Arabidopsis thaliana: one gene and its partners. The protein of the gene in region 4 purifies or fractionates together with the protein of the main gene of each other region. This does not show direct contact. Each region holds a gene or a part of one and is shown on either strand. Other genes may lie near its edges. The genes, in order: HIR2, PIP3, PIP1C and ABCB4.

Region 1 (6,585 bases), on a different chromosome or scaffold from region 4:
TTCTCTTTCATGTTTAGCATTTCTCACCATTTAAGTCCCCTTTGAGAATGTTTTGTTAATAAGCTGTCTAAAACTGTTGCTCTGCTCTGTGTATTTGCAGATCTTCTGTACAAAGACCACAACAGTGACCAGAAATTCAGTATCACCACTTTCTCTCCTGCCGGTGTTGTAAGTTTCTCATTTCATTATAGATGATTAGGGTTTATGGAATGTCGTCTTCTGTATTCTGTTTCCACTTTTGCTTTATTCATTAGCTTCTGAGGTTTGTGTCGAATTAGCATTGTTATCTTATGTAACGGATTTCTTACTTTGTTCTTATGTTTCGTGTGATGGTAAACATTGGATTTCTTCTATCTTGGGCATCGTTGCTCATAATCTGGCTCTTTCTTTGTTTTAGGCCATCACCTCAACCGGAACTAAGAAAGGTGACTTATTGTTGGGAGATGTCGCTTTTCAGTCGAGGCGAAAGAACATTACTACTGATTTGAAAGTTTGCACTGATTCTACTGTAAGTGTATTTGTGTACTCAATTTCATCTCCTGTTTTTCTTGTATATTGAGTTATAGTTTTTTGTTTGTTTGTTGGGCTACTTACCTTACAACTTTGTGTGTATTGGTTTCAGTTTCTGATCACCGCTACCGTTGATGAGGCTGCACCCGGACTGAGGTCAATCTTCAGCTTCAAGGTTCCTGACCAAAATTCTGGCAAGGTATATTTTATTAATTCAACAACATTTCTTTGTATTGTTTTAAAGTTTCATCAGTTGAGAGTTGACTTCTCATTTTTATCGTGTTTCGTCTTATAAACAGGTTGAGCTGCAATACTTGCATGAGTACGCCGGTATCAGCACAAGCATGGGATTGACTCAGAACCCAACTGTCAACTTCTCTGGTGTGATTGGCTCCAATGTCTTGGCTGTTGGTACTGATGTTTCATTTGACACCAAGTCTGGAAATTTCACCAAGATCAATGCTGGTTTAAGCTTCACCAAGGAGGACTTAATTGCCTCCCTTACTGTGTAAGTGATTTTTAGTGAGAATTCTGGATGAAAGATGGAGTTCTCAATGTTTCCATTTAATATCTTTTGATTTTGTTGTTTGTTAGGAACGACAAGGGCGATCTATTGAATGCATCTTACTATCACATTGTGAACCCGCTGTTCAACACTGCGGTTGGAGCCGAAGTGAGCCACAAGTTATCTAGCAAGGACAGCACCATAACTGTTGGAACACAGCACTCGCTTGACCCCTTGACCTCTGTGAAGGCTCGTGTCAATAGTGCGGGTATTGCAAGTGCTCTCATTCAACACGAGTGGAAACCCAAGTCATTCTTCACAATCTCTGGAGAAGTCGACACAAAGTCAATTGACAAGAGTGCTAAAGTTGGATTGGCTCTCGCACTCAAGCCTTGAAACTGAGATGGAAGAAGAAGTTGCAATAGTTTTTTTAAACTAGTTTCTTTCTACGTACTCTGTTTTTTCTCTGCTTGGTTCATGGTTTGAGTGGGCAACTACTGATCTTTCCCATTTTCCTGCCGGATTTGTAGAAGAATAAAAAGGTTGAAAATGATCATCTTGAGATGGTGATGAAACTCTTAAGATCCTCCTCTTCTGCTTCTCTTTTTATTTGCCGTGTCATAATGAAAATTGCATATTCAGATGGGCCTGTGTGTTGAGTAAGTGGACCTGTGTCCAGAGAGTTGATTGAGATGGGCTTCATTTTAGGCCCACATGTTTATCGATCAGGTTCATTCTCTTCATTATATGAAAGTGTCCTATATCGCAACATTCTCTTCATTAATCATTATATTAGTTTATCGCCACAAAGTTCACTATTCAAAGATTCGATTTTTCTCTCGCAAACAGAAATTTATATTGACTTTTAAGAAAAAATACAAAGTATATCTATCACACAACTCACAAAAGAGATAGGTACAAACATAATGACAAATCACAATAAGCACACCATTATATTAAAAGTCAAATTTACCTTTTTAATAAGAAGATACAAAAATATATAAAGAGACGACCAAGACAATTTGACTTGAGTGATTAGGAGGCATTGTTGGCCTGTAATAATCCATTTCGAATCTGCGCTGCCACGTCAGAGACGGCGCCTGGACCGTGAGGGATAAACACCGCAGAGGATTTAGAAGTTGCTCCGATATCTCTCATTGTGTCAAAGTACTGAGTCATCATCACCATGTCCAACACATCCTTCGCTGACGTCCCTGGCACGTTTCCTGCGAACCCTAGAACACTGTCTCTCAGACCGTCCACGATCGCTTGTCTCTGCCGAGCGATTCCGAGTCCCGACAGGTACTTTGACTCTGCTTCACCCTCTGCTCTTTTGATCTGAATGATTTTCTCAGCCTCTGCTTTTTCGCTCGCTGCCACTCTCATCCTCGCCGCTGTAACAACAATTGAATTCAGGGTTTTGACCATTTATTTGTTTAGATTTTGATTTAGGGTTTTACGATTTTGAGGACTTACCGGCGTTGATTTCGTTCATGGCACGTTTAACCTGTTGATCAGGCTCAATGTCGATAATTAGGGTTTGAAGGATTTCGTAACCATAAGCAGTCATGGCTTTGTCTAGCTCTTCTTCCACAGATTTGGCAATTTCATTCTTCTGCTCGAACACATCGTCCAAGTTCAGCTTTGGAACACATGCTCTGATCACTGAAAAAACAAAACGAAAATCAATAACTTGACCGGATAAATCATCACTTTCCCTAAGTATTGAGAAATGAAGAGGAGATATATATACCATCAAAGACGTAGGCTTTGATTTGGGTGGTTGGATTGCTGAGTCTGTAAAAAGCATCACTTGCCTTGTCAGCTAAGACTCTGTATTGTATGGATGCAACCACTGTCACAAACACATTGTCCTGAAACATAATCATAGATGAATTAATGGTCCATTAGAAGAAGAAGTTTTGCATTATGTGTGTTCAATGTTACTTACCTTTGTTTTGGTTTCACACTGAACATCGAGTTGCTGAAGACGAAGGGTCAGTGTACCGGCGACGTAATCACCGATGACCCATGGAACAAATTGGAGACCTGGATTAAGTACTTTTTGGAATTTGCCAAATCTCTCCTTGACCGCAACATCTGATTGCTTCACAAGCACGCAACAGAAAAGATTCCCCATTATTCTGAACAAGAAGCAAGAAGATTATGAATGGCTTATTATAGGTATTTGTCTCTCTGTAAGTTTGTTGAAGAGAAGAAAGTCGCAGGAGTGTTATATAGACAAAAGTAAGAAGAAGATCATGTCAAGTTGTCATCTAGTTGTACTACTCCTCGGAAATTTCCTATTTATTATTCAATAGTGGCATTTTCATTGAAAAGTCAAATTGTTTATATCTTGGAGAATATTCAATAATAATATTTGATAAATATGCTTTTCGTTTTTATAACAATTACTTTTTCTTTTTAATTCTTTTTGGGTTAGGCTAAAAAATAGTTTCATTATACACTTCAAATTATACAAACCACAGAATTAAATCTTTGATTTTCCGTGCATGGTATTTTTCACTAACATTAATGTAAACTATGTTTCTGTAGTAAGAGAATCGAATATACTTTTATCGAAGAAAAGAGGATAATCGTATCGTTGAATATACTACAGAGCCTTGTCAGACGCCAATAAACAAGAGTTATCTAGTAGTATATACTTGTTCCTTTTGATTGAGTAAACGCGTTATCTATTACATTGTATGTTCTTATATACTATTGATTTAAAGGTTCAAATTCAACAAAATGTAGGAGAAAAAAGTGGAGTGTCGCTTTATTTATATTATTCTGCAGCTGTTAACTGTAGGGTTTCGTAATAATATACGAGAACAAGATGGTTCTACTTCTACTAGTATATATATATATATCTAAATCTAATTTTTTGGTTTCTGTTTGATGTAAAATGGTGGAGGTGGTAACCGAATTTATGGAAATTCGGAACGGTCCATTATATTTTAAATTATAGTTGAATGTTTTTTATCATAACTTAATAAGAAAAATTATGATGTTGATATACAATCATCAAGCTTGCTAGTGTGCAAAGTATCTTACTGTAATCCTTTTTATAAGGAAATTATTTGTATATAAAAGTCGTTGGTCCTTGCGGCTCGCATGTTTAACCAAGAAAGTGGATAACTTGTATGTGAGTATAAAAGTTTCACGTAAGAAAAGTTGTCAGTTTTCTTCTTTCGTATTTATATTTTAATAACTCGATTATCGACAAGCTACAAGTAGATAAGTCCAAAAATCAAAGAGAAGAAAATTTTCAAAATTTCAAAGCAAAATGTCTCTCACCCCCACCCACATCTTCCATTACCATTCTTGATATCTATCTATCTTTACATTGAAGAAGTGGTGGTTGCATGCTGGTGAAGCGATACGAAACGACTAATACATAATGACAATATTACCCTAACAGACAATTTGTTCAAGAGTTACAACAGACGAAGAAACATGAGGTCACAAAGGTAGTAAATACACAAATTCGGATCTTCTTCGGAACAACCTTAATTTTCCTTCTTTAAATCGGTTAACAATGTCGGTTTTACATCGGTTAAAAAAGACGTTTGCTTGCGTCCACACTTGCGAGCCAATCTAAGTAGTTGCACCTTTAGGCTTAGGAGACGGAATCTGATGACGATAAGGCGACGAACCAGCTTGACCATGAGGACTAGACAATGTCCGAAACACTGGTTGCCCGTTTCTTGACCCGAATCCACGACCAGAACCAGAACCAGAACCAGCTTTCAAACGTTCAGCTTGCATTGTCTGGAAGTAGTAAGAAGCGCTAGCCATGTCCTTGAGGTGTGGGAGAGGCTTAAGTACTTCCACCACTTCACTCATTTTGGGTCTTATTTTGGAGTCACGGCTAAGGCATTGTGCTGCAAGCTGAGTCACTTTTTGTGCTCCTTTAACTGAGAAATGACCCTCCAGCCTCGGATCAAGTAACCGGTAGAATCTTCTTTTGTCCAGGAGATGCGGTCTCGCCCATTCAACGAGGTTGTGTTCACCGTTTGGTCGATTTTTGTCCATTGATCTTCTACCAGTCAGCATTTCGAGAAGAACCACACCGAAACTGTAAACGTCGCTTTTTGATGTCAAGTGACCTAAGGAGTAATAAGAGGACAGTAGTTATATATAATCTCAAACCAAAGAAATTAGATGTATGTTTCATCATAGTAATACTTTGCATCAACCATATGTGTAGGTTTCTAATTTTCTATATTCAACCATACAGAGAAGATATAAGTAGAGGAGTGAATGAAATGCAAAGACAAAAAACAAAACTTACCGGTCATTACATACTCGGGGGCAGCGTAACCATAAGTGCCCATGACTCGAGTAGACACATGAGTTTTGCCTTCATCAGGAGCATCTTTGGCAAGCCCAAAATCTGATAATTTAGCATTGTACTCCTGAAATTGGGACATGGTAAGACTTTAGAAGCAAAGAAACAGACGTGTATATAAGATGTTGATCCCTTGATATAAAGAAGAGGAAAACATACCCCATCCAGTAAAATATTTGAGGTTTTGAAATCTCGATAAATGACCGGCTTTAAAGCTTCTTCGTGAAGGAAACTGAGACCCTTTGCAGCACCTAATGCAATCTTCATCCGAATTGACCATGGAAGAGGCAAGGACCCTTCAACACGAAGCACAAGTTAATTCACAAATAAAAAGATTTGCATCAATGATAACTGAGAAGATAAATCATACAAAAGCACTGTGTCTTTTTAAACACATTTTTTACGCCGAAAAATCTTGAAACAATGAATGCGAGGGATTTACTTATTGCTTCGTGGGTCAATACAGTCAAGCAATATAAACCATCTAAGACAGCACTAAAAGGTACCAACTTTACCATATAGAGCAGAAAGGTTCCAATTTTAGCTGTATAGATTCTAATCACTTTAACAATATGGAGTAGACACATCTCTAAATTGTAGACACTTGTTACCCAAATCGAAAACAAAGAAAAGGAAAGAAAATAACTCTACAGTGTAATTAGAATATGAAGGTTGTAGTTGTTTTACTTACTTCTGAAAAGGTGATTCTCCAAACTTCCTCGAGGCATAAACTCATATACAAGCAGCCTTTGATCATCTTCGATACAATAACCCACCAGTTTAACAAGATTGGGATGGAGAAGATTACCAAGATAATTAATCTCAGCCTGCAAACAGGAACCTTTAGTTGTGTGTTTAACAGTGGAAAAGGATATATATATATAGAAGAAAAGAGAAGGAAGGAAGGATCTTACAAGCCACTCTTTATGACCCTGAAGGCCATCAGGATTTAAGGTTTTGACGGCAACAGTAAGGCCAGTGCCAGGCTTAACAGGAGCAGTTCCGTTCTCCTCGACCCAGCCTTTGAAGACACAACCAAAGCCACCTTCTCCGAGAAGGCTTTCAGGTCTGAAATTTCTAGTAGCCAACTTGAGATCAATGAAAGAAAACTTCTTAAGGTGAGAATAGATGTTAAGTTCTTCACTTATGATAGGAGTGGACAAAGAGCTTTCTGCATTGCTAGTTGTAGTAGTAGAAGAGACTGGGCCAACCGGTT
Region 2 (6,744 bases), on a different chromosome or scaffold from region 4:
TGCACAATGTGAGTAAGTAATTATAAATAACCTCATTGGAGATTCAGATCTTAACTAATAGACAGCAGTTACTTCAATCGTCTTTACTAGAAAAAATAAAATAAAATCTTTAAGTAGGCTCCAAAGGCTTTCACAAGATGGCAAATGACCTCAAAAAAACAAATTAGTTATCACGTGAAATCACCTTGACAGCCAATTTTTCCAGACACATAAAAAATAATCCGTAACATGGAATGATTAAAAAAGTTCGCAACTTTTAAAAAGTCTGAATTAGTGATTTATATCCAAAGTTGAAGATGTTTTTTGTCAACATATTATGACATCATTTCTTTCAAAAAAATGGACAGACAACTAAGTTTCACACTCAGCTGCTGTCTGTTTCAAGTTTATGTTTTTAGCTATACAGCATCAGATCGGTTAAAGTAAATCGGTTTAGGGATAAGCAGAGGGGTGAACCGGCCGGTCACATAAGGTATTTTGCAACTTGCAAAATTGCTATTATCCAGAACCAATAAAGCAATAGCTATTATAAAACAAAATTTAAGGCCCAACTATATGATGGTTCATACTTCATAAGCTGCTAGGGTTTACAAAGTTCAAAATGAGTGGACCATATTGAAGCTAAGAAGAGATAACGAAGAATCGATCATAACGGCTAAGTATTTAAAATTAAAACTGAGACACTAGGCGTATTAACCAGTAAAAGCGTGAAGGCCATCGTTGTGGTCCTTCTCTCTCTCTCTGTCTCCTCTGCATTCACTTTTCTGAAAAGACGAGACGTGAATTATTACTACTATTCCATGTAGACAAATTCGTATTTGTATTCATACTATTTTAAAGCCAACTCTCACTGTCGCAATTTACATCCCATAGACAAATTTAGTGCTTATTGCTTCCATGAGCATTTTCTTTTTTTTTTCTCTCTTTAATCAAATGCATTATTCAATTAAGTTGGTAAAGTCTTTTATACAAATAATTTCCTAATACATCCAAACACATATGCGTTTGGGTGGGTCTAAAGACTCTTAGCCAAAAGGAGTCTACTATATAACAATAACAATAACAATACGGTAACTAGACGCAGAAAAGTTACCCATGTGATAAACACATGAGCTACGCGACACGCGGCCTAAGAAAAGTTAGAGTGCGGTGGAAAAAATGGGTTTAATGTCTCGTTTCTTGTCTGGTTGTTACAACTCTATTGGCTCCACTCCTTTTTATCCTTTCACAAAAACAACAAAAGGTACTCGCACGAGTTCTTTTTCTTTTAAAAACAATACTAATTCTAACAAGTAACATCGAAAAAAAAGACTAAAGCAAATGGAGCGAAAATAGTTGTTTTCTTGTCAACTAACGAAAATGTAACCACATAGCAAATGGAATCCAATATTTCCTTCTCAACACGTGTCAATTAATGAATGGTTTACATATGACCCGATGGTTTAGAGTCGACACGAGGATAATAACCAAAAGACCCACACACCATGTTCAGCCGAAATTTGTATCTTAATTGGACGCTAGCTGTAATAATGTACATTGAAGGATCTTGTGATGTTGTGAATAATAAATTCCAACTTGGATTGTTCGATATTTACGAACTGACATGAAGAGAAAACATGAATTTGTAACTACTAAGAGAAACCAAAGGCAAACGATTAACAAAGACAATCAAAAACTAAAGAAGGAAATAGAAGTCACTGAGCCATTTCATAATTAACATCAATCCACCATCTCTCTCATTACACACAAAAGAACAACAAATAATAATTAAAGCATATAAATCTTAAAGTTGTTTCTTGACATTATCTTAAAAAAAGCCTTCATTAATTGGTTGCGTTGCTTCGGAACGAGCCCAAGGCCTTAATTGCTGAAGCTCTCAATATGTATTGGTGGTAAGCTGCTGCAGCTAGTGCTCCCAAGAACGGACCAACCCAAAAGATCCACTGCAAAACCAAAACCAACACAGAACCAACATTAGGACATGAAGTCATGAATGATTAGTGAATACCTAATCCAGATAATAACTAAACACTTACTTGGTCATCCCACGCCTTCTCGTTGTTGTAGATAACAGCAGCACCAAAGCTTCTAGCTGGGTTGATACCAGTTCCAGTAATGGGGATAGTAGCCAAATGCACCATGAACACAGCAAATCCAATTGGAAGTGGAGCCAAAACCTAATCACAAGAAAACCCACCACACTTTATCAGAATCTACAAAGTAAAGATCCTTAGAGATTCATACATACTTTGTCATTACACCATAAAAAGATTCAAACTTCATCAGAATCTACAAAGACCCATTTTATATTCATACTAACTTTATCATTAAATCCTAAAAAGATTCAACCTTTATCATAATCTACAAAGACCCAATCAGATTCATAGTAACTTTGTCAAAAAACTCAATTAAAGATTCAAGCTTTTTGAGACTTACGGGGATGTGAGAGTCACGAGCGCTTCTCTTAGGGTCAGTTGCAGAGAAAACGGTGTAAACAAGGACGAAAGTTCCAATAATCTCAGCTCCGAGAGCAGTTCCTTTGCTGTAACCGTCAGCTACGGTGTTAGCTCCTCCACCAAGAGTGTTGTAAGGAGTTTTCATGAAAGCTTTCACGAAACCCACACCACAAATGGCTCCAAGACACTGAGCTATCATGTAACCAAGAGCTCGCACCAAAGAGACCTTACGGGCCAAGAACAGACCGAAAGTCACAGCTGGGTTAATGTGACCACCTACGAGAAGACGAGAACAAGAACGAGATTAACAATAAAACCAACGAACCAAACAAGTAAAAGTTAGGGTTTTTGGTGGGATTCAAACTTACCAGAGATACCGGCGGTGCAGTAGACGAGGACGAAGATCATACCACCGAAAGCCCAAGCGATACCAAGTAAACCAACGCCGTCACAAGGACCGGTTTGCTTCTTGTGGCCGATGACAGTAGCGACGGTGACGTAGAGGAAGAGGAGTGTAGCGATGAACTCAGCGATGAGAGCTCTGTAGAAAGACCAGGATTTGAGCTCACCCATGTCGAGAAGAGGAGCTGGTGGAGGATCCACGTAGTCTTTTCCATGGTGGGTTTTGCCTTCTTCGCTCACTTCTTTCGACATCTTTGTTCTTTTTACTCTCTAGCTAGCTATGGAGTTTGTGGTGCTGTGTGACGACGACAGTGTATCTCTTCTGCCATTTTAAAGGGGAAAAAGGAAACCCTTGTAATGCCAGGGATAAACCAAGGGTACTTTCGGTATTACGTACTATTTGTATAGTCTACATAATTCTGCTTATAATCATTATTAGTACGATTAAATAGTTAATAACCCTCTAAACTAACTTAGTACTAAAAATATAAACTACTAAATGTTCCTTGGAACTTTCCAGTTTTAGTTAAAATCACATACGATTAATATGCATTATTACTGACAAAATAATAGTCAAAATTATCACGAATGTTCCTGCAAAATAATAGTCAAATTTGTGTTTTAATGCATTTTTTTCTCTTGCTAACATCAATAGTTATATGCATTATTACTGGCCCAATCAAATTTTTGTTCTTGTACTGTATGATATAGTGTATAAAATAGCAATCAAAGTGGGGTATAATTTGCATGGCCAAATCTTTTGCAGTTCTGTAAAATGTGAATATTTTTCCTACTAATAAATATGGAACAATGGGATAAATACACAAATGTTTAAATAAATAAAAATAAGACATGTGTTTTTGTAGGTTTGTTGAATATTTTTTTGGGTAGTAATAATTTGAAAAAAAAAATGGGAGATAAAAGTAGAAGGTGGTGGGGTCCAGATGTACAGATAAGCCATGTGAGGGTTAATGATAGAAATGAGGTGTATGGTTTTCTCGTCAGCCTGTCATCCCAAACTCTCTTCAACGGTTATCTCAATATCTTTGTCTTTTTTTCCAAATCTTTTTTGGTAACATTTTTTCAAATTAGGTCAAATGTTTGTAACATATGATAATCTGCTAAAGGCAACTGTACATGAAAAAGATTAATAATCTACGAAGAAGGTATATTCGCGGCAATTTTTAAAAAGAGTTCATATACCAGCAAAAGATAAGAGTCTATTAATTATGGTTGGTGCCGTTTTTTTGACGAAACTTGTATAGACAAACATTCACCCCGCATATAAACTATATAGTAGTCTATGCTAATTTATACTCACATTAATGTGTTTGTCGTTGAAATTTGAAGACTATTTATGGATTATAATCAATTTTAAAATTTGGTTAAATGATGTATGGGAGTATATACTAATACTAGTGCATCTTATTCTTTTTGATCAAAAAATTTATCTACTCATTTGCTATTCCTTTTATTTTTTTCCTTTGAGAGAGCCATATTAATTTGAATGGTTATGTTTGTATATAGCAATACGGACGTGGCATATTAGAAAGTTGATACAAATGTACATTAAAACTTAATGGTCATTTTTTTCTAAAGTTTAATGGTCATTTAGATTGAGAATTGCATAAAGAAAAATCCATAGTGCAAGCTCACAAGGAAAAGAAAAACTAGCATAAATAGTGGACTGACGGATAATCCGAAGTGCTGGCAATTTAGGAATCCCGTAATGAGTGTTAATATCTAAAGCTTAGTTTACTCTTTTCCTTTCACATTTTTTATACGTTAATACGACGTTTGTCCTTATCCTCGTAGCCCTAATCAAAATTATTTATTTTGTTAATATCCCTAGCCAATTATTACTTAATTTACTTTATCACTTTGTGTAATACTTAAATTTTACGCAAATGTGATTTAGATATATGAAATGGAAGTAACTTTACTTCCTAAGTCGACCCACGATAATATCATTAATTCAAGTAAAGTACGACAAAGAAATATTTGATTTGATATTATGCTGCCTTTGGTAATGGAAATGCCAGGTCGATGAGCAATCATAGAAAATGATGATTGCCTTCCTCTTTGTCCATGAAGAAGACTATACGATTTCGTATAACAAAATTATATCTGCTAAGTTGTGGTAAATTTATTAAATATACAGTTCAGGCAACATTACGCAGTGCAAACATTAAAACCACCAATACACATTTTCATTTCAATTGAGTTTGAAACTAATAAATAGGGAGCCTGCGGTTTCCAAATAGTGAGATATCGACCCTAGTAGTAATCAATAAGATTTCAAGTTTTATGATTTGGAAACGAAAACAATAATGTCTGGATAGTAGTACTGGACCATCAAATATATTACGTAAATAAAGTCTCTTCGTGGTGCAGAAGAGGTTGGATAATAATAATATTTGGCTAAACTTCATCCGAATCATTGCATGTGAGAATGGATCACCATCTTATCTTTGCTGCTACTATACCTATCGTTAATTATGATTTATTTTCCCGGAACATGAAGGATTTTTGTACATTATGGTTAGCGAACTTCAACAATTTCAACTAGTCTAGTTAAATTAAATTGAGTATATTATATAGTTCAGAGAAAGGGACTGACCTACCACAAGGGGCAGCCAATCTTTATCTCTAAAACATCCAGGTCACAATTTCCACATCAGTTTGGCAAAAGACAGGTCAGATCTCTTCGTTAATCCATACAGATCATCCCACGTGTATCGTATCTGGTAACGGCTAGAACGATCCATAAACATCTGTCTTTTTCCATCCTTTTAAATAATGGTCCTCGTTTCTCGCAATTCCTTTTTCCGATTCCCCCTCCAACGGTCACTACATTTGATTACCGTATGCTTTACGGTTTTTTTTTTTTTTTTACATCAATTTTATGGTTCAATTATGCCTTGAGAATGTGCTTTTGATTTTGATTAGCAGTATATTTGTTTAATTAGTAGTGAATGCGTTTATTTTTGTGGATTGTTTTTTAATTAGTTATCTTGTCATTTAGTACACATATGGTAAACTAAGCATGTTTATGTACTTAACTAGGTTTTAACCCGCGGTTTACCGCAGACAATCAATTTATTTGGTTCTTATACTAAATATTTGAAGAAATTTGATATTTTAAACTTATAAATATAAATTTCTAGTGATTAGTGAAGAATCGTAATAAATGATTTGGATATTATTGATTATTGATTTCGTGATTGAATATACTGTTTTTAGAGATGAAATGTGATTATATTTTGATTTCAAAAACGATATAGATTCCTTATTTTTGTTGAATAGCTTAGATTAAAGAGAATTAATTTTATTAAACGGTTTAGATTGAATTGGATCATATAAAGCTTAGAAAATTGTTAAGACCAAACTACCCTTAATAATTTTGAATAGCAAAGAATAAAATCCAAAATTAAAATCAAAATTGAGACCAAATTATACAAAATTTCAATTTGTACTTCTCTTTTAATAATAAAGGGATTAGCTTAATTATTCTTAAAATATCTTAATATTATTTACACTAAAGAAAACATAGAACATACTCCTTTCTATTCATTGTTTTTAGGCTATATTGTACCTTCATATTTCATTTTTGAACTTTTCAGTTCAGAAAATAGTACATACAATAACTTTGAAAAGATTCAATATTAATGCTGTCTTAGATTAGCACTTTTTAAAAGTATGTATAAAACAAGTAATCGATCATCCTTAAGTTTGGTGTTCCCTAATATTCATATTTTAGCTGGTTGCAAACACCAGCTATATTCGTTTATGGATTTTGGTCTAATTATTATTAAAAAAACAAAAATTAACCATAAGGTGAGTTTGTTTTGTGTATCCTTCTTATTTTTAACCAAGAAGGAACTTA
Region 3 (6,620 bases), on a different chromosome or scaffold from region 4:
AACCTCTTTTATATTATTTTGTTGTTTTGGTTTAGAATTCTAGTTGGAACAAGTTGTGTGTTAGATTTGCAGGGAAGAGCAACAGCAAGCTAGACTGAAATTGTATAGTTGCCGAAGTATTATGGCTAGATCACAGTAGATAGATAATTATGAAAAATTACATGAAATTTAAAGGTGTTTTCAATATTATATCTTTTAGCTTCTTTGACAGTAAATATATAATTGTTGGCATTTGGCGACACTCAATATGTTTTTCATTTTATTCAAATAAAAAATAATACTAGTAAGTAATAATTTGGAAATAGAGGTGGGCCGTAGTAAGACCTATAATCAGGTCTCCTGAATAGGAACAAGTGGCAATTTGCCTCCGTAGATGTCGGGAAGTTGGCTTTCGTCTATGTCTTCAAGCAGCGTTGGAGTGAGTTTCTTGTTCTCCACGAAAACAATCTGCCCCCCCAAAAAAACACGAAATTAACAATCAAATTTTCCAACACAGTCTTAAAACATACTAATAAAGTGATTGTGAAGCAGAGCAAATCAATGTACCTTTTTCTTGGTGTTGGCGTCGATAAAAGGATAAATGACCTTCCATGCGGTCATGAAAATGTAGGGGGCATGAACTATATAGAGTTTCCCTAATCTCTCTGGGTAACAATCCTGTAAAACAAGGTTTTCTTAATGTGGGGGTTACTCACTGTCAGGACTCACGACCATGAACAATATTACTAACGCAATATTTTGCTAAAAATAGGATTACAATCATGAAAGTTCCTTTTCAAAAAAAATCCATAAACAAAGAGAAACAAAAAAAAAGAAGCCAAGTGTGGCCAAAAGGACCAAAATAACAAAAAGACCTTTAACCTGATCACCTACTCCAAAATAACAAAAACACCTTTTAAAACATAGTAAATAGTACTGACGAACAAAAGGTTTCTTAGTTGGAAGTCAAACTGAATTCTCTATATTTGGAGTTAAGTGGATTATTAGCAATATTTTCCTTTATTAGTGATAATTGCTAAAAACCTAAATGTTTGTTTCAAAAGATATGATAGGCGAATTAAAGGAAGTAACCTGCAAAGTGGAAAGAGCAGCAAGGTAGCCACGGATGTCACAATTAGAATATCCCCAGCCTTGCAGATCTCCAATTGCTACGAATTTCTCTTGACCTCTCGGCATTCTAACATGACAACATTCAAACAAACAAAAAAAGAGCATTAGCATAAATGGTTTCTTATATACCCACACTAACTTAATGTATGTAGTAATATTATTATTATTCACCTAGCACAAATCTTCTCGAGCGTGTAGACAACAAAACGCTTGAACTCGTCAGGGTTGCCTTTGGAAGGGTTATGTCTGTTCCCAATGGCAACAGCGATAGGTCGACCCATCTTGTCATGACCTTGCATACACATCTTGTTATGCGATAGATCATTTGCAATCTCTGCTTCTGGTATGTGCCCCTTTGGGAGCATGCTTCTCTTCCAAGTCAGGTAATTTAGAAACATCGTTGAAGCCTTTTCAATGTCCAGGTCACGCGCTCTCAGAAACCTCCTTATCATCAGATCATCCACCTCCTGCAAATCCAAATCATTAGGGCTTTTATCAAATCAATACTTTTCTGGTTGAATTCTTTTTTTACTTAAAGAAATCGATAGGGACCTTAGTTTCAGGATCTTGTCGGTCGCAGAGAGCTCTCATGATCCCGACTTTGCTCCTCTCGATCTCATCTTCGATCAACGGAACGGTCTTTTGCTCAGCTGCTGCTGCTGGTTCTTGCTTGGTCTCTTTGTTTTCCATTACGTTTCTCCTGTGAGCGACGACCAGATCTTGAAATTGGTAGAGAGAAGAAAGAAGTAGGATCGATCATAAATGAAGACAGCTGCTGAGAGAAAGATTTTAAGTGTCATTCAATGCAAAGTTGGGCTGCTTTCCCCTTCAATGGCGACGCTCACCAACTACTCTCTTCCTTACAAAAATTCTACTCATTTATTGACTAATCCCAGGTCCCCGACTCTACAGGAAGAAGACGATTATATCGTATTGGGCCTTATTAGAGCCTATTGGGCTCGAGTTGATTTGTCGTAAAGACTTGGTCTGTGGTTTAATCAATCTCTCATGCCTCAAAGTGTTGACTGATTCAGAGGCCGTTTTAGTGTTTTGAGCCCACGTCAGAAGCTTGTCTGTCGTCTGTGTGTATAAAACAAAATTCAATTCACGATTTTTTAAAATATTGATCGTATCTTTTTCCACATGTATGTAAGCAATGAAGGATCTGCTTCGTTGCAAAATATTAGTTTTTCTTTTGATAGGCATGTACCAACTAAGTACCAGCTACGTACACAGACAAAGTCAGTAACAATTAAAATTCATCAACCTAGTCATTGCTTGTTCATCAATCAACCTAATCATTTGTTTGCTTGTTAAATAACAATGCCAACGTTATTATTTCTATTTCTATACTATCATACATTCATACGGTCCACGCCTCTAACAAAAAAAGATATTGATAAAATTTAAAAGATAGATAATTCGATGAAATGAATTATAATGAAATGTGATTTGTACAACTGAGAAAGGATGTCATATACGGACTTTGGTCGGGACCGCCCCAGTAAACACCACCAACACATATTTGCCTCTTCAACCACGTGTCGTGATTCTGTTGGTTGGGCAGCTAGACGACTGTGATGTGTGTGTGTGGGTTGCGTTTCGAAAAATGGCAAACCCCACCACTAGTTCAATAAAAGGTGTTTCTTAATCATATAGTTTAGCTTCGGATTATTTGTTTCCCTTTTCAGTTTTTTAAAAATCGATATCTACAATAGAGTTAATCTGTTTATAAATTCAATTATTGTTCGGGTAAGACAACATCAACAAAACTAATAGGGTTTGAATCCTAAACACTAAACTCCATTTAACTAGTAAAGTATGGCTCATATAGCGTTAAAAATATGTGAATTGATAACAACAACAGAGTTTTGAATTTTATTTTTGTTAGGTTTGAATAGATTGATAGAAAAAGGAAAGTGGGAATAGGGAAACGAACATGTGATCACAGAAAAGCAAAATCCATTTCTGAGCTGGAAACCCCCGCAAAATTGAACCTTATCTCCAATTTTCATTTTCTTTTTTTCTAAAATATATATCGTTTAATTGAAAAACCTCAAATTCACAATCATTGTGATTATTTTGTCACTAGTAGTACACATAGTAATTTAATTAAACATTTTAAAAATACTCTAGGCCCGGCACAATGTTCGAGACTATGTTACTTTACATAAAGCAATCGCTTTCCACACACTTCTTTTCCTTTTCTTCTCCAACGGTCGGAAGTAAATTATTAATTCGTCGACTAGTCAAAAAGTTAGTCCTTTGTGAGTTTTCTGGCACTGTAATATTTTTTTTTACATTTCTAACTGCTGACTGAGTAGTACTCCTGTAGCAAGGCATTTGAGAATAAATTAGGTCAAACATGCTATCTTTATAAGGAGTTTCAGAATATAATACTAATAGTTAGCCAACGCAACAGAATTAGTATAAGCGTGGGTTGTGTTACATGATTAAACATCATCAAGTAGTAGGCTATTACAATTATTAACGTAAATAAATATGCTTTTACGAAGATCATCGTTATCCATGATTCCCTGTATTTCTCATTATTTAAATATATCATAATAGTTTCGAGACGTTAGTTTTTTTTGCTTTTTCTATTCTCTCTCTCTCTCGCCTCTATAAAACCATTCTTTCTCTATCTCAGCCACTCTCATTACCCATTGTAGAAAAGAAGAAAAAAAGCAAAGAACACTTGAACGTTTTCTAGATAGAGATGGAAGGGAAAGAAGAGGATGTTCGAGTGGGAGCTAACAAGTTCCCGGAGAGGCAACCGATAGGTACATCGGCTCAGACGGACAAAGACTACAAGGAGCCACCACCAGCTCCATTTTTCGAGCCAGGCGAGCTGAGTTCGTGGTCCTTCTACAGAGCCGGAATCGCCGAGTTCATAGCCACCTTCCTGTTTCTATACATAACAGTATTGACAGTGATGGGAGTGAAGAGAGCACCAAACATGTGTGCCTCTGTTGGAATCCAAGGCATTGCTTGGGCTTTCGGTGGCATGATCTTTGCCCTTGTCTACTGTACTGCTGGAATCTCTGGTAACCCCATTTTTTTTATCTTCTTAATACAAGTAGAATTGGTCTTTTGTTGCATGCTTCAAACCCTTGTAGCTCTGCTTTTAGTTTTCGATTTTTCTCAAAGAGATCTTAATTTAGAGTTGATTCTGATGAGTGTGTGTGTGTGTGTGTTTCACAGGTGGGCACATAAACCCAGCGGTGACATTTGGTCTGTTCTTGGCTCGTAAGCTGTCATTGACGAGAGCTGTCTTTTACATCGTGATGCAATGTCTCGGAGCCATCTGCGGCGCCGGAGTTGTCAAAGGCTTCCAGCCAAATCCTTACCAAACTCTCGGCGGAGGAGCCAACACAGTCGCTCACGGCTACACTAAGGGCTCTGGTTTGGGTGCTGAGATAATCGGAACCTTCGTCCTTGTCTACACGGTCTTCTCCGCCACTGACGCCAAGAGAAGCGCTCGTGACTCCCACGTTCCGGTATAATTTTGTTTTGATTCCTCTTAATTTATTGTTTTGGGTGTTTAGAAAAAGATTCATAATTTAGGGTTATTTTTTTTGCAGATTTTGGCACCACTCCCAATCGGATTCGCTGTGTTCTTGGTTCACTTGGCGACGATTCCAATCACCGGAACAGGAATTAACCCAGCTAGGAGTCTTGGAGCTGCAATCATCTACAACAAGGACCACGCTTGGGACGACCACGTGAGTACCCCATTACATCATTTGGTTGATTTGTCTTTCTATATGTCTTTGTCACTTTGGTTTGATTGTGGTTTGATTGTGGTTTGCAGTGGATATTCTGGGTCGGACCATTCATTGGAGCAGCTCTTGCGGCTCTTTACCACCAACTTGTCATCAGAGCCATTCCATTCAAGTCCAGATCCTGATTTGATTTCTTTCTTTATAAAACTTCATTGTTGCATCTTGGTTTGTAATTGAGCTTGAAAATATTTGAGAGATCTGGATCATGTGTTTATTTTAATTAATGGACTTGTCTTTTTCTTATTTGCTGTGGATGATCTGGTTTTATCGTTAAATGGAGTTTGATATTATGATTGATTTGGTACGATTTTAATTTTGCTTTTGTCGTTAGACTCGAGAAATTTTCAAGAGGAATTTGTTAATTTGATTTTCTTCTGGTTTGGTTCGGTACAAATTGAGTAAGATCCATATTGTTTCGGCTTGGTTTCTCGGGTCATCGACTCAACTAGTTTACGTGGTATTTAGCCCATATTTACATTGGGCCTCTTGCGCACTCTTTATGGGCCACGTTAACCAAGTGGGTATTAAGCCCATTTACATTGGGCCTTTTTCGCACTCTTTATGGATACAACTAGTATCCCATAATATGTCCATCAACGGCATCACTCCACCTTAATTTGTTGCGATAGATAGCCAACCAAGTTGAGATAAAACATTCTTACTTATTCTACAATAACCTCGTCAAAGTGGATTACCTACCCACTGCTTCACACCTTTTTTTTTTTTTAGTTTTTACTTTTCAGTTTCATATCTTCAAAGTGAATGTTTATGATAAGTTTGTTATCTTCTTGGAAATAAATTCTATTTCATAATTTTCATTGTACATAATTGCATGCATATTTTGGTAATTTATCTCAAACACACATATATGTATACACGCATAAGTCACTTTTCTTTGTAAGCTAAGGTTCACGTGATGCAGTTTCAATTTCCATAGCGTGTAAGTAGTTATTATACTCATACTAGGGGAATACTGTTACACTCATATCCGTAAGTATGAATGCATATGGCTCAATGGCTCTCCAACTCCCAACTATTTTACCGTTTTATTAATATACCATTGACATTTGAGTGACCATCCATGATACGCGGACAAAGAAAAAGAAAACCGTCTTAATCCCTTAATTATTATAAATTAAGGAGTTAATTATTTAAACCTAGTATAAAGTCAATTAACTCAATTAGCATTATAACTCTGTCGACGGCTCCTTGATACGTAAATATTGCAATCAAAATTAAATGCTACCAATATATAAAAGTCATTTTCATATAATTAACTTGGTCAGGCGGCCGTCGACTTTAATGTTTCACGTATAGTTGGATACTATATAGTATATACACACAATGCCAACCCACATATTATAAATTTATAATAACTCACCCAATTAATTATACAGCCTTCCATTTAGGTGAACTACTAAACTACTTTCTTTCATGTCAATCAACAAAAAGAAAGTAACTGAACCGCGTGTGACCAAAATTATATTTATGTATACACCAAATTCCATCATCTAATAAATACCCTAATCAAATAATCACTCATATTAACTTAAATATATTAGAAAAAAATAAGTGTCAATTGAAACCTTTGTTACGAATCATGTGATGTGAACATTTAATTTCTCATGGAGATAAAGAAATAAGAAGGGTTAATTTTGTAAAGATTGAAAGTTTAAGGATAATTTCGTAAATAGTTAATATTAATTGGACTGAAAAGTTATTTAG
Region 4 (10,322 bases):
AGGAGGCAGGGGAAACAACAAATTCCCACCTGATATTTCCTACTTTGTGTTTTGGAAATAAATGGGCCTTCTCCTTTGATTAAGCCCAAGTTCGATCCCATCTATAAATAATGCAACTTAAAACTCACAAAAGTATTCGGCTTACGCAAAATATAGGGTTTCTGTTTATTCCAATCATAGCTTCCGGATCAAGCAAAACAGAGACCGAGACGGAGCAAATCGCTTCTACGGAGGGCCCCATTGATACGACGAACACTGATGAATCTACAGTCTCTTCCTCTCTGAACAATGACAAAAGTCCGACTACAATCCGGAGGAAGATAATTCCGGCGATAGCAACGAAGAAGAAGACGAAAACGAAAGCGACGAAGATAGCGTAGTGGACTATGGAGATTCAAAGCGATCAACCGGAATGGGGAGTGGATAGCTACGATTATGTATACATAGAAACTATCCAAAACTATCAACTTGGCTTAATGAAAATGATAGTTTTGGATATTCTTGTTTTGAACACCCAATCTCAAATGGTATAATACATTACAGTACCCTCAATAATATAATAAGAACCAAAAAATTACCCAAAATAGAAATTCACAACAATAATAAATATAACGGGGCATAATTGACATAAAATAAAAATAAAGGGACAAAAAGATAATTAAGATCAAGAAGCCGCGGTTAGATGAAGCTGAACTAACGAAGCATAAACTCCGTCTTTGATATTGATCAACGTGTCGTGCTTTCCTTTCTCAACGATGACGCCGTTCTTAACGACGGCAATTACGTCAGCATTCTTAATCGTCGATAACCGGTGAGCTACCACAATCGTAGTCCGGTTTACCATAACACGGTCTAGCGCGTCCTGAACCACACGCTCAGACTCAGCGTCAAGAGCACTCGTGGCTTCGTCGAGCAGCAACACCTTTGGATCTTTGACGATGGCTCTGGCTATAGCTACTCGTTGCTTTTGTCCGCCTGATAATTGAATTCCTCTTTCTCCCACCATCGTATCATAACCCTAAATCAGGCAAGTAATCTCCGGTTAATTTGACCCGACCCGATAACCCATTGATTTGGGAATCAGAGTAAGAACCCTAAAGGTTGAGTTTTTACCTGTTGCAGACCACTGATGAATCCATGGGCGTTTGATAATTCAGCTGAAGATACGATTTCGGATTCACTCGCGTCTCCTCCTTTGCCATAAGCAATGTTGGCTCTAATTGTCTCGTTGAACAAGATTGGTTCTTGGCTCACAAGTCCCGTTTGTTGTCTTAGCCATTTTAGTCTTAGGCTCTTGATCTCTACACCGTCAAGAGTGATCTCACCTGAATCTGGATCGTAAAACCTCTGCAACAATGCAATCACCGTTGATTTCCCGCTACCGCTTTCTCCAACCAAAGCAACTGTCTGGAATGTGAAACAGAGAACAGAGGTTTACTCAAAAGGTTCTGCCTTTTTTGCTCAAAGAATGAAAGTTTTGAAATCCTAACCTTTCCAGCTCGAATGCTTAGACAGAGGTCTTGGAAGATTTGAACATCTGGTCTTGCTGGGTATTTGAAACTAACATGACGAAGCTCAATGTCTCCTTTAACATTATCCAACACTCTTCCTGATTCCACACTTGGGTCAATCTTTGATTCCCTGTCCATTATTGCGAAAATCGAGGCAGCAGCTACATCGGCTTTGCTGGAATCTGGAGATAACGAACTCGATTGAGATATCGCCATTGCCGCCATTGTCAAAGCAAAGAAAACCTGCATTGTTAAACATGACAAGGGATCAAGAAACTCTCAAGGGAAGGCATTTATCATCAACATGTTGTGTGTTTTGTTTCCGTACCCTGAAAACAGAGTCGAAGGTTGTTTTGCCATCATCGACAAGGCGTGCTCCAACGTAGAAACTGGCAGCGTAAGAAGAGAAGAGGACGAAGAAAGAGAAGCCGAAACCAATACCACTGACTATGCCTTGACGAATCCCATTCTTCATTGGACCTTCACATTTCTTTGAGTACATGTTCATCACCTTGTCTTCTGCACAGAATGAAGCAACGGTTCTTATGCTCCCTACCGCGTCATTCGCTACTTGGCTTGCTTCCCCGTACATTTTCTGCCAATGATTTAAAGTAACGTTAATCAAATGATTGAGAGAATCTAGTTGGTATATGTATGAAAAGTAGTAACTAGTTTACCTATCTTAGCAAAAAAAAAAAAAAAAAAAACTAGTTTACCTTTGCATCAGCGCTGAAACCTTTCATGAACTTCATATAAAGAAATCCATTGAGTGCGATAAGCGGGAGCATCGCGAGGACCACGAAAGCTAATTGCCAACAAGCCAAAAATGCAATGATCAAACCAGCCAATATAGATGAAAGATTCTGAACTGTCTGAGCCAAAGAGTCTCCAACTAGACCACGGATTGTGGCAGCATCTGCTGATAGCCTTGCTCCTATGGTTCCACTAGAATTCTCTGGCTCGTCGAACCATCCAACTTCCATGTGAACCACTTTCTCAAAACACATACTTCTGATCCTCTGCACTAGTTTACATCCAGCTATGGCAAAGAAGAAGGTTTGTGCTGGGTATGCAATGATGGATGCGAAACCAAGAACCATGAATATGATTGCCCAGAAGCTTGTATCTTCTTTTAGCTTTTTAGGTGGTTGGAAAAACGCTTTGATTACGCTGGAGATTAGTATGCCAAAGATTGGAAGGATAACGCCATTTGCTGCTGCGGATATTGATCCAAGTATTAGCACCGGAATCTCTGGTTTGTTTAGAGCAGCAATTCTGAAAATGGAGACTTTTTTTGGTTCGGTTTTTGGTTGTGTAGTATCATCCTCTTCTTGATCTTGAACGACGTTTCCGTCAATTCCTGCTGGAAAACCAAACATATTGAAAGAATGGCGGCTGCTGTTTCCTCTGGATGATCCTCCTTTGCTTAGAGACCGGCCTAGAGACGATTTTCTCAGACTAGATTGTTTGAATGATTCAATTGATGACATCTTTTGCTCCTCCGCTGCATTCTCATCAGATTTCTTCTCTTCTTGTAGACGAATCAGCTGAGAATAAGCTCCTTCCGGGTCCTTTAGTAGTTCCGTGTGAGAACCTGTTCATCAAATTTTGCTATCACACATGTGTATCCATATGCAAAAAGTGAATAAGAATGTTAGGTAGTTTACCTTTCTCGACGATCTTGCCTTGGTGGATCACAGCGATCATATCCGCATTTCGCACAGTGCTTAACCGATGAGCGACCACAACAGTAGTCCGGTTAACCATAATTCTATCAAGCGCTTCTTGAACCACTCTCTCAGATTCTGCATCAAGCGCGCTTGTAGCTTCATCTAAAAGTAAGATTCTTGGATCTTTTAAGATTGCTCTAGCCACCGCGATTCTCTGTTTTTGTCCACCGGAAAGCTGAGTACCATGTTCTCCAACCATTGTATCCAAACCCTGTGGTAGCTTATCCACAAATTTAGATGCGTTTGCTAGCTCTGCAGCTGCTTTAATCTCTTCGGTTGTTGCGTCTTCTTTGCCGTACGCAATGTTATCCTTGATGCTTGCAGTGAACAAAACTGGTTCTTGACTCACAAGTCCAATCTTGCTTCTAATCCATTTTAGCTGAAACTCTTTTAAGTTAATACCATCTATGAGAACGTCACCAGCTTGTGGATCGTAAAACCTCTCAATCAGACTCACAACAGTAGATTTCCCGCTCCCACTTTGTCCAACTAAAGCCACCGTTGTACCACTCGAGATAAACAGAGAGAATCCGCGAAATATTTGCTCATCGGGTCTCGCTGGGTAAGTAAAGTAAACATCTTTGAGCTCAATATCTCCCTTAATGTCATCCAAAACTTTACCATTTGTACTATAAGAATCTATGTTAGGTCTTCTCTCAATTGTCTCAAACATCTTGTAAGCCGCGGCTTGTCCAGCTGCAAATGCGCTTAAGCAAGGCGATGTTTGACCTAACGACCTAAGGAAGGAACAAAAAGATATCTCAAATTAGTTTGCAGGGAAGTTAATGAACCAAAGAGGTATTGCTAATGAAAGGTACTTACATGGATCCAGTTAAAACAGCGATGATGATATTGAGAACTTGTCCTCCTGTGTAGCCTTTATCCAATATCAACTTTCCTCCATACCATACTGCTAAAGCGTAGCTACAAAAGACTACAAGAAAGAGCGTTCCAAGACCCAATCCAGTTGAACCACCTTCAATGACTCCTGCTTTATAAGCAGTGACAAGATGTTTATTGTAATTGCTTATCGCTTGTTTCTCTCCTGTAAATGATGCAACCTGCAAAAATGTAGATAGTAAGTCTTTGTGGTTTTGGTAATTTTGGCTAAGTAAAAGTGTATAAGTAAGCCTAATTACCGTTCTTATAGAACCAATTGTTTGCTCAACTACAGTGGCAGCTTTGGCGTAAGCAGTTTGTCCACGAGAAGCTGTTTTAGCAATGACGATAGCCAGAAGTGCACCAGCCATTACAAGTAGAGGAATTGAAGATAACATGACCAACGTTAGAAGCCATCCTCTTACGAAAGCTATCACAAAGCCTCCTACAAATGTTGCTAGAAGTTGTATAGCTTTTCCCACCTGACAAAAACGTCGTCGTTTTAACAAATAAAGTTTCAAACATTAGAACGCCATGTTGACTTTTTTTTAGTAGCTTACCTTTTCTCCCATGGCATCTTGGATTAGCACAGTGTCACCGGACATTCTTCCAACAACTTCTCCTGTATTTGTATCGATGTCGAAAAAGGCTATATCTTGTCTTAAGATTGTCTTTAGATACAAACTCCTTATTCTCGCTGCTTGTCTCTCTCCAGAAATCATCCAGCCAGACAATTCTGAACATTCATAGACATCAAAAAAGTTTACACTCTTTGTTTTCTTGAAATCTTTTTTCACAAAGTTTAGATCCTTCGACAGATCCAATGAACTTACGGAGAAAAGCAGCTGCGAAAGTACCGATTCCAAGCCATACAAACTTCAGAGCAACCTGTGTGAGTTAAATAAAAAAAACTAGTAAGAAAGTCAAATCTTGAAATGAATCCCAATTAAGACAAAAAACATTCGTTTGATTTACTTTGGAGACTTTGTCTGTTGTATTAGTCTGATTCTCTCCAAAAGCATCAATGAGATCTCCGAACAGTAAGGTCATAAGAGGGAAGCCAAGACCATTTCCAATAGATCCAAGCGTCCCGAGGATCATCAAGAGGAAATCAAAGGAATCTGCAAAAGCAAAGAGCTTATAAAACGGCACCGTTTTGGTTTTCTCATGTTCCTCGTCTTTCTTCTCTGTTTTCTTCACTTCTTCTTCTTCTTCCTTGTCTCTTTTGGTCTCAGAAACCTCTTCTAGTATATTTGGATCTCCATTTAAGCCGCTCTCTGAAGCCATTAGAGTTTCACAGATACCTCACGATCCTAAGCATTTAAAAGAACAGAGGAGATATGTAATAAGTTTCTAAATCTATGAGCTGATGAGATCTTCAAGAGAGAGTATATATCTAAATAGGGAACATAAAGGTCAGGCCAAGAAGGAAAAGAAACAAAGACTTTTCACCAACCATGAAAACACCCTAAAGATCTGTATATTGTTTTTTCAAGAACATGTGAAAAAATAACGAAACCTGAAGCAAGATCTGTCGTTTACAATGAGGAATAACCGAAGCTACGGCCCAGATAAGAACATAAAGTACAGAGTTTCCAGTATAAAAATGATTAAAGCAGAGAATATAAAAATATATATATATACCTCGAAAAGCAACAAGAAGAAAGTGATTAGGGTTTAGCGGCTTCTTGGTGTCTTGCCGTATAAACAGCAGTTGAAAAATGTGCAGAGAGCTCTCTCTCTCTCTCTCTGCTTATATATTTTTATATAATTGTAAGTGAAGTTTGGAAGGACTCATGTGAGTTTATATATGCTCTGTTTATTTCTTGACGAACAAGCTGTGACTTGTTTGAGAGAAAGAGAAAATGGATGCCATGAAATTAATAACTACTACTTCGTAAAATTTGTGAAAAATAGTCTTTTTGTTGTTGTTGTTAGTAAAGTTAAATTGTAACCATAGCACAATTGGCGTAGTTATAAAATAGGGAATCTTGTGTATATAAAATGAATTATGCCTTTATGTTTGTAATACAATATAATACGTAAGATAACATTTTCAATATTTTATCTGCCCATTATTGTCTAATGCTGACCAAGATGATTAATTATAGCATTAAAAAAATATAAAGAACGAATTGATCACAGCGATCGACGATTAGTCTAGCTGTTTTGTTCAACTACAACTCTATTATTTTAACATAAAGTTTTAATACGGGAGGACCGTATGTCTGTATAATCCCGCGAATCACTCATATGTACAATATAGTTATTTTTTTTATTTTTTTTGGTATCAGTGATAAGATATATTTGATCTCTTATTATAGCTAGTTAATTAGCCATGTTATTAGCAGCTTCCATATGTCCTTACTCCTTATCATCGTTTAAAACGATTCGTTTTATATAAAAACTCGAATTTTGTATGTACGTCTTTGTGTGTACATATACACATCAATATCTCAAAAAAAAAGGAAGAAGCTGAGTTATGATGATTTTCTTGCATCGCTTTAGTTGACTTTCTCGTTGGCATTAGTTGTGACTTGTGACTATGGATGGACAAATTGACAAGTGCTGCAAGAACCCATTCCTCACTAGTAATCTTTGTTATCATAATTGCGTTTTGCCAACGGATCGATGGGAATTATTGATGTGTTAAAACAAACGAAAAATCGAATTCCCATAAATGTATATTTCATTAGTTATTTTGTAAGTTAAGCTAAAAATATTATAAAATTATATTTTCTGGTCAGATTATATCTTTGCACTACCATTCTAGGTTGGAACCACGTGAAGCTTATTTTACTTTACGAGCAAGAAACACGTCCGAATTTTAAATTATCGATTCAAAATAAAACAAAGAAAAGTCAAAACTACAGAGAAAGGGACCTTTCTTTCTTCCAGGGAGCCAGGGAAGGAATGGTCTCGCATTACTTCTTCTGCGCCTTTTCAGAATCAATGAATCTTATCGAACCAATAACGATTCTGACGTCATTCCTGACATATAATGATATTCCTATATTTATCACCTACCCACGTATATCTTTTGTCTATAGCAAGAATTTACTACTTGGGGAACAAGTTATCAAATACTACTTTTCTAAGAAAAGAAAAACTACTAGTTGCAATTTTATTCCAAACATTGATGTGAGAGTGACTACACCATTAATAAATCGTGTGAGGCGCTATTCAGATTTTTCATTTTTCGATGAAGTGTGGATTTGTTTTGTCATTTTTATTGTAAGTTTTTGTTTTGGTGCACATAAATATTTAATTTCTATTAATTTAAAATATCTGCTGAATGACACTAATTATTGGACTCATTAATTCACTCGATAGATTATTGACATTTTTTTCAGTAGGCGTAGTAGACCTTTTTCCGGGGGAAGAAAAAAAGTTTAAGCGGTTCGATTCCCACTAACCTTTTGGAGAATCGTGTCACGTGTCGAATAGACCCAAATCCTTTACCCTACATGTTTGAAACTGTATAAAATTCCCGACGTAAATAAGACGATCTTGACCCGGCCCGAGAACCCGAATCTATGGATTTTGAATTTGGAAACCCAACCTACAAATTTTTTATATATCCCACTGACAAAGCCGTTACTAGCCCATGGGCCTAATTACTTCAAAGAATGCTCAACTTTTGATTTTTAATAGAGAAGAAAAAGTTTGAAACTTTATCATATATTGACTTGTCTTGTTGCTCTCTAGAGTGCAATCATACCATTGAATACATTTTAGGATTCGTTTTCAGATGGTTTAAGATATAATCACTCTGAACGCAAATGCAAATTAGAATGTATTTTGATCCAAGCATTTCTACATGTACTGCTTTGATCTGAATCGAAAAGAGCAAGTCATGGTTACTCCCTCAATAATCGCCACTAAGAAGAGTAACAGCTTCTTTGACTTTTGGAAGCATTTATCACATAGAGATTAAATCATTCACCAACTACCACTGCAGTCCACACAAAAAAAAAGCTTAAATAGATTAACCAAAAAAGCACAAGAAAACTAAATGCAGAAAGAGAGGAAAAGAGACAAATGAAGCAACTGGCTCCAATCTTGGCCGTGGTAAACTTGATCCTCCTGGTTCATGGAGACGAGAGATCAGCGGTTGGAGATCCTGGGATGAAGAGAGACGGTCTCAGAGTGGCATTTGAAGCTTGGAACTTCTGCAATGAGGTTGGCTTCGAAGCTCCTCACATGGGTAGTCCTCGAGCTGCAGATTGCTTCGATTTGTCATCTAAATGCATCAAAGCATACACAGAAGACCAATCAAACAAAACCACCAGTAAGTTTTCTTCTTCTTTCTTTCTCCTCTGTTTTCTCTGTTTCTAACTATAATTTTCGATAGGTGGATCTTCCTTGGTGCACAAGGTATCAGACTCGGATAATGAGCTAGGGATTGGAAAGCCTAAACCAGGAATCATATCAGAATCAGCATTGCATAACCCTGACCTTTACGCGGTCGAGAAAGAACTCTACCTAGGCTCCCTCTGTCAAGTCTCAGACAAACCAAACCCATGGAGTTTCTGGATGGTCATGCTCAAAAATGGAAACTACGACACAAAATCTGCTCTTTGCCCTAAAAACGGCAAAAAGATCCCACCTTTCAATCAACCCGGATTATTCCCCTGTTTCGGCAGCGGTTGTATGAACCAACCGACGCTGAACCACGGAAAAACCGAGCTTCAGAGAGATGGTCAAACCATGAAGGGATGGTTCAATGGTACGTACGAGCAAGGGGCAGATTTTGGAAATGGGTTGGATGGGATAAGTTATTACGAGGTTGTGTGGGAGAAGAGAGTAGGCGTTGGTGGTTGGGTATTTAAACATAAGCTTAAGACTTCAGCTAAGTACCCATGGCTTATGCTTTACCTTAGAGCTGATGCCACTAAAGGATTCTCTGGTGGATACCATTATGACACTAGAGGAATGCTCAAAACAGTAAGTAATTAACACTAACTTTAAACCTTTTTGAAAAGTTTTTTTCATTCTTGTCAAAAAGAAATTGATTGATCTTTTGTGATGAAATATTGAAATGTGTTGTGTTTTTGTATTAGCTTCCGGAGTCACCAAACTTTAAAGTGAGACTAACACTAAATGTAAAACAAGGAGGCGGAGCCAAGAGTCAATTCTATCTTCTCGACATCGGAAGCTGCTGGAAAAACAACGGCAAGCCCTGCGACGGTGACGTAACCACCGACGTTACTCGTTACTCGGAGATGATCATAAACCCTGAAACCCCACTTTGGTGCAACCCCAAGAGTCTTCACAACTGTCCACCGTACCACACGTTTCGGAACGGCACCAGAGTTCACCGTACGGACCACCGGAGCTTCCCTTACGAGGCTTACCACGTTTACTGTGCGCCGGGAAACGCCGAGCATCTTGAGCTTCCGGTGGGGACTTGTGATGCTTATAGTAACCCACAAGCTCAGGAGATTCTTCAGCTTTTGCCTCACCCGGTTTGGGGTGAATATGGATATCCTACCCGGTTGGGTGATGGTTGGGTGGGTGACCCGAGAACTTGGGATCTTGATGTTGGTGGCTTGTCCAGTAGGCTTTTCTTCTACCAGGTGATTGATTGATCAGTAAACCGGTTGGTTTTTCTGTTGTTTCTTTTGAATATTCCGGTTTTGGTTTTTGATTTGTTTATGTTGTAGGATCCCGGTACGATTCCAGCGAGGAGGATTTGGACATCGGTGGATGTTGGCACCGAGATTTATAAAGAAGATGAAGCAATTGCAGAATGGGATCTCTCTGATTTCGATGTTCTTATTACTTGATTTAAGTCAATTTTATAATATTTGTTTTTTTTTGTCGTCAAGTCAATTTTATAATATAAGATTCACAACTAATTTATATTCATTTGGTACAATTATTTTATCAAAATATGCAACCAATACTGAACCAATCCAAAGTTTTTGTTTTCAAAGTAAACCAAACAAATTCCGATGTAATTGTGTAGTACCGGTACTGGAAAGAGAATTGCGTACTAATATCAACCATCAAGCAAAAAAAAAAAGTGTACTTGCGATGTACTTTGGGTCCTACCACGTGGCAGCTAAATTATTTCTCTCTACCTTCCGATTTAACACACATAGTCGTAAAAACCAGAACCCTCCAGCTAATTTAGAGGGTTAGGAATACAGTTGGGAATAATGAATATACGCTTTAGCCAGATCGCAGTACAAGACTT

Evidence for each region.
Region 1: the proteins of ABCB4 (region 4) and HIR2 purify together in Arabidopsis thaliana (affinity purification with mass spectrometry, with the first as the bait; one large-scale study listed by BioGRID). This does not show direct contact.
Region 2: the proteins of ABCB4 (region 4) and PIP3 purify together in Arabidopsis thaliana (affinity purification with mass spectrometry, with the first as the bait; one large-scale study listed by BioGRID). This does not show direct contact.
Region 3: the proteins of ABCB4 (region 4) and PIP1C purify together in Arabidopsis thaliana (affinity purification with mass spectrometry, with the first as the bait; one large-scale study listed by BioGRID). This does not show direct contact.

What each region holds. Positions count from the first base shown.
Region 1 is NC_003074.8:86,202-92,786, forward strand, and holds HIR2 (SPFH/Band 7/PHB domain-containing membrane-associated protein family), read right to left. Parts: upstream 3,393-6,585; 5' UTR 3,156-3,392; coding exon 2,967-3,155; intron 2,890-2,966; coding exon 2,769-2,889; intron 2,681-2,768; coding exon 2,492-2,680; intron 2,410-2,491; coding exon 2,051-2,409; 3' UTR 1,483-2,050; downstream 1-1,482. Other genes in the region: VDAC1 (voltage dependent anion channel 1), read left to right, coding at 101-168, 398-508, 623-709, 810-1,018, 1,105-1,411; AT3G01300 (Protein kinase superfamily protein), read right to left, coding at 4,616-5,127, 5,313-5,436, 5,529-5,665, 6,061-6,196, 6,284-6,585.
Region 2 is NC_003075.7:16,705,038-16,711,781, reverse strand, and holds PIP3 (plasma membrane intrinsic protein 3), read right to left. Parts: upstream 3,422-6,744; 5' UTR 3,111-3,421; coding exon 2,825-3,110; intron 2,733-2,824; coding exon 2,437-2,732; intron 2,178-2,436; coding exon 2,037-2,177; intron 1,944-2,036; coding exon 1,824-1,943; 3' UTR 1,375-1,823; downstream 1-1,374. UniProt on the Arabidopsis thaliana protein: Water channel required to facilitate the transport of water across cell membrane. May be involved in the osmoregulation in plants under high osmotic stress such as under a high salt condition.
Region 3 is NC_003070.9:224,386-231,005, reverse strand, and holds PIP1C (plasma membrane intrinsic protein 1C), read left to right. Parts: upstream 1-3,462; 5' UTR 3,463-3,829; coding exon 3,830-4,157; intron 4,158-4,314; coding exon 4,315-4,610; intron 4,611-4,694; coding exon 4,695-4,835; intron 4,836-4,924; coding exon 4,925-5,020; 3' UTR 5,021-5,341; downstream 5,342-6,620. Other genes in the region: AT1G01630 (Sec14p-like phosphatidylinositol transfer family protein), read right to left, coding at 331-447, 547-657, 1,072-1,177, 1,282-1,577, 1,663-1,800. UniProt on the Arabidopsis thaliana protein: Water channel required to facilitate the transport of water across cell membrane. Its function is impaired by Hg(2+).
Region 4 is NC_003071.7:19,309,344-19,319,665, forward strand, and holds ABCB4 (ATP binding cassette subfamily B4), read right to left. Parts: upstream 6,001-10,322; 5' UTR 5,765-6,000; intron 5,729-5,764; exon of another isoform or gene 5,434-5,728; 5' UTR 5,408-5,433; coding exon 5,096-5,407; intron 5,009-5,095; coding exon 4,954-5,008; intron 4,857-4,953; coding exon 4,681-4,856; intron 4,603-4,680; coding exon 4,381-4,602; intron 4,303-4,380; coding exon 4,064-4,302; intron 3,979-4,063; coding exon 3,179-3,978; intron 3,106-3,178; coding exon 2,228-3,105; intron 2,107-2,227; coding exon 1,840-2,106; coding exon of another isoform or gene 1,780-1,839; exon of another isoform or gene 1,755-1,779; coding exon 1,491-1,754; coding exon of another isoform or gene 1,408-1,490; coding exon 1,114-1,407; coding exon of another isoform or gene 1,081-1,113; exon of another isoform or gene 1,019-1,080; coding exon 665-1,018; 3' UTR 300-664; downstream 1-299. Other genes in the region: AT2G46995 (uncharacterized protein), read right to left, coding at 125-241; AT2G47010 (calcium/calcium/calmodulin-dependent Serine/Threonine-kinase), read left to right, coding at 8,162-8,411, 8,475-9,067, 9,184-9,699, 9,787-9,909. UniProt on the Arabidopsis thaliana protein: Auxin influx transporter that mediates the transport of auxin in roots. Contributes to the basipetal transport in hypocotyls and root tips by establishing an auxin uptake sink in the root cap. Confers sensitivity to 1-N-naphthylphthalamic acid (NPA).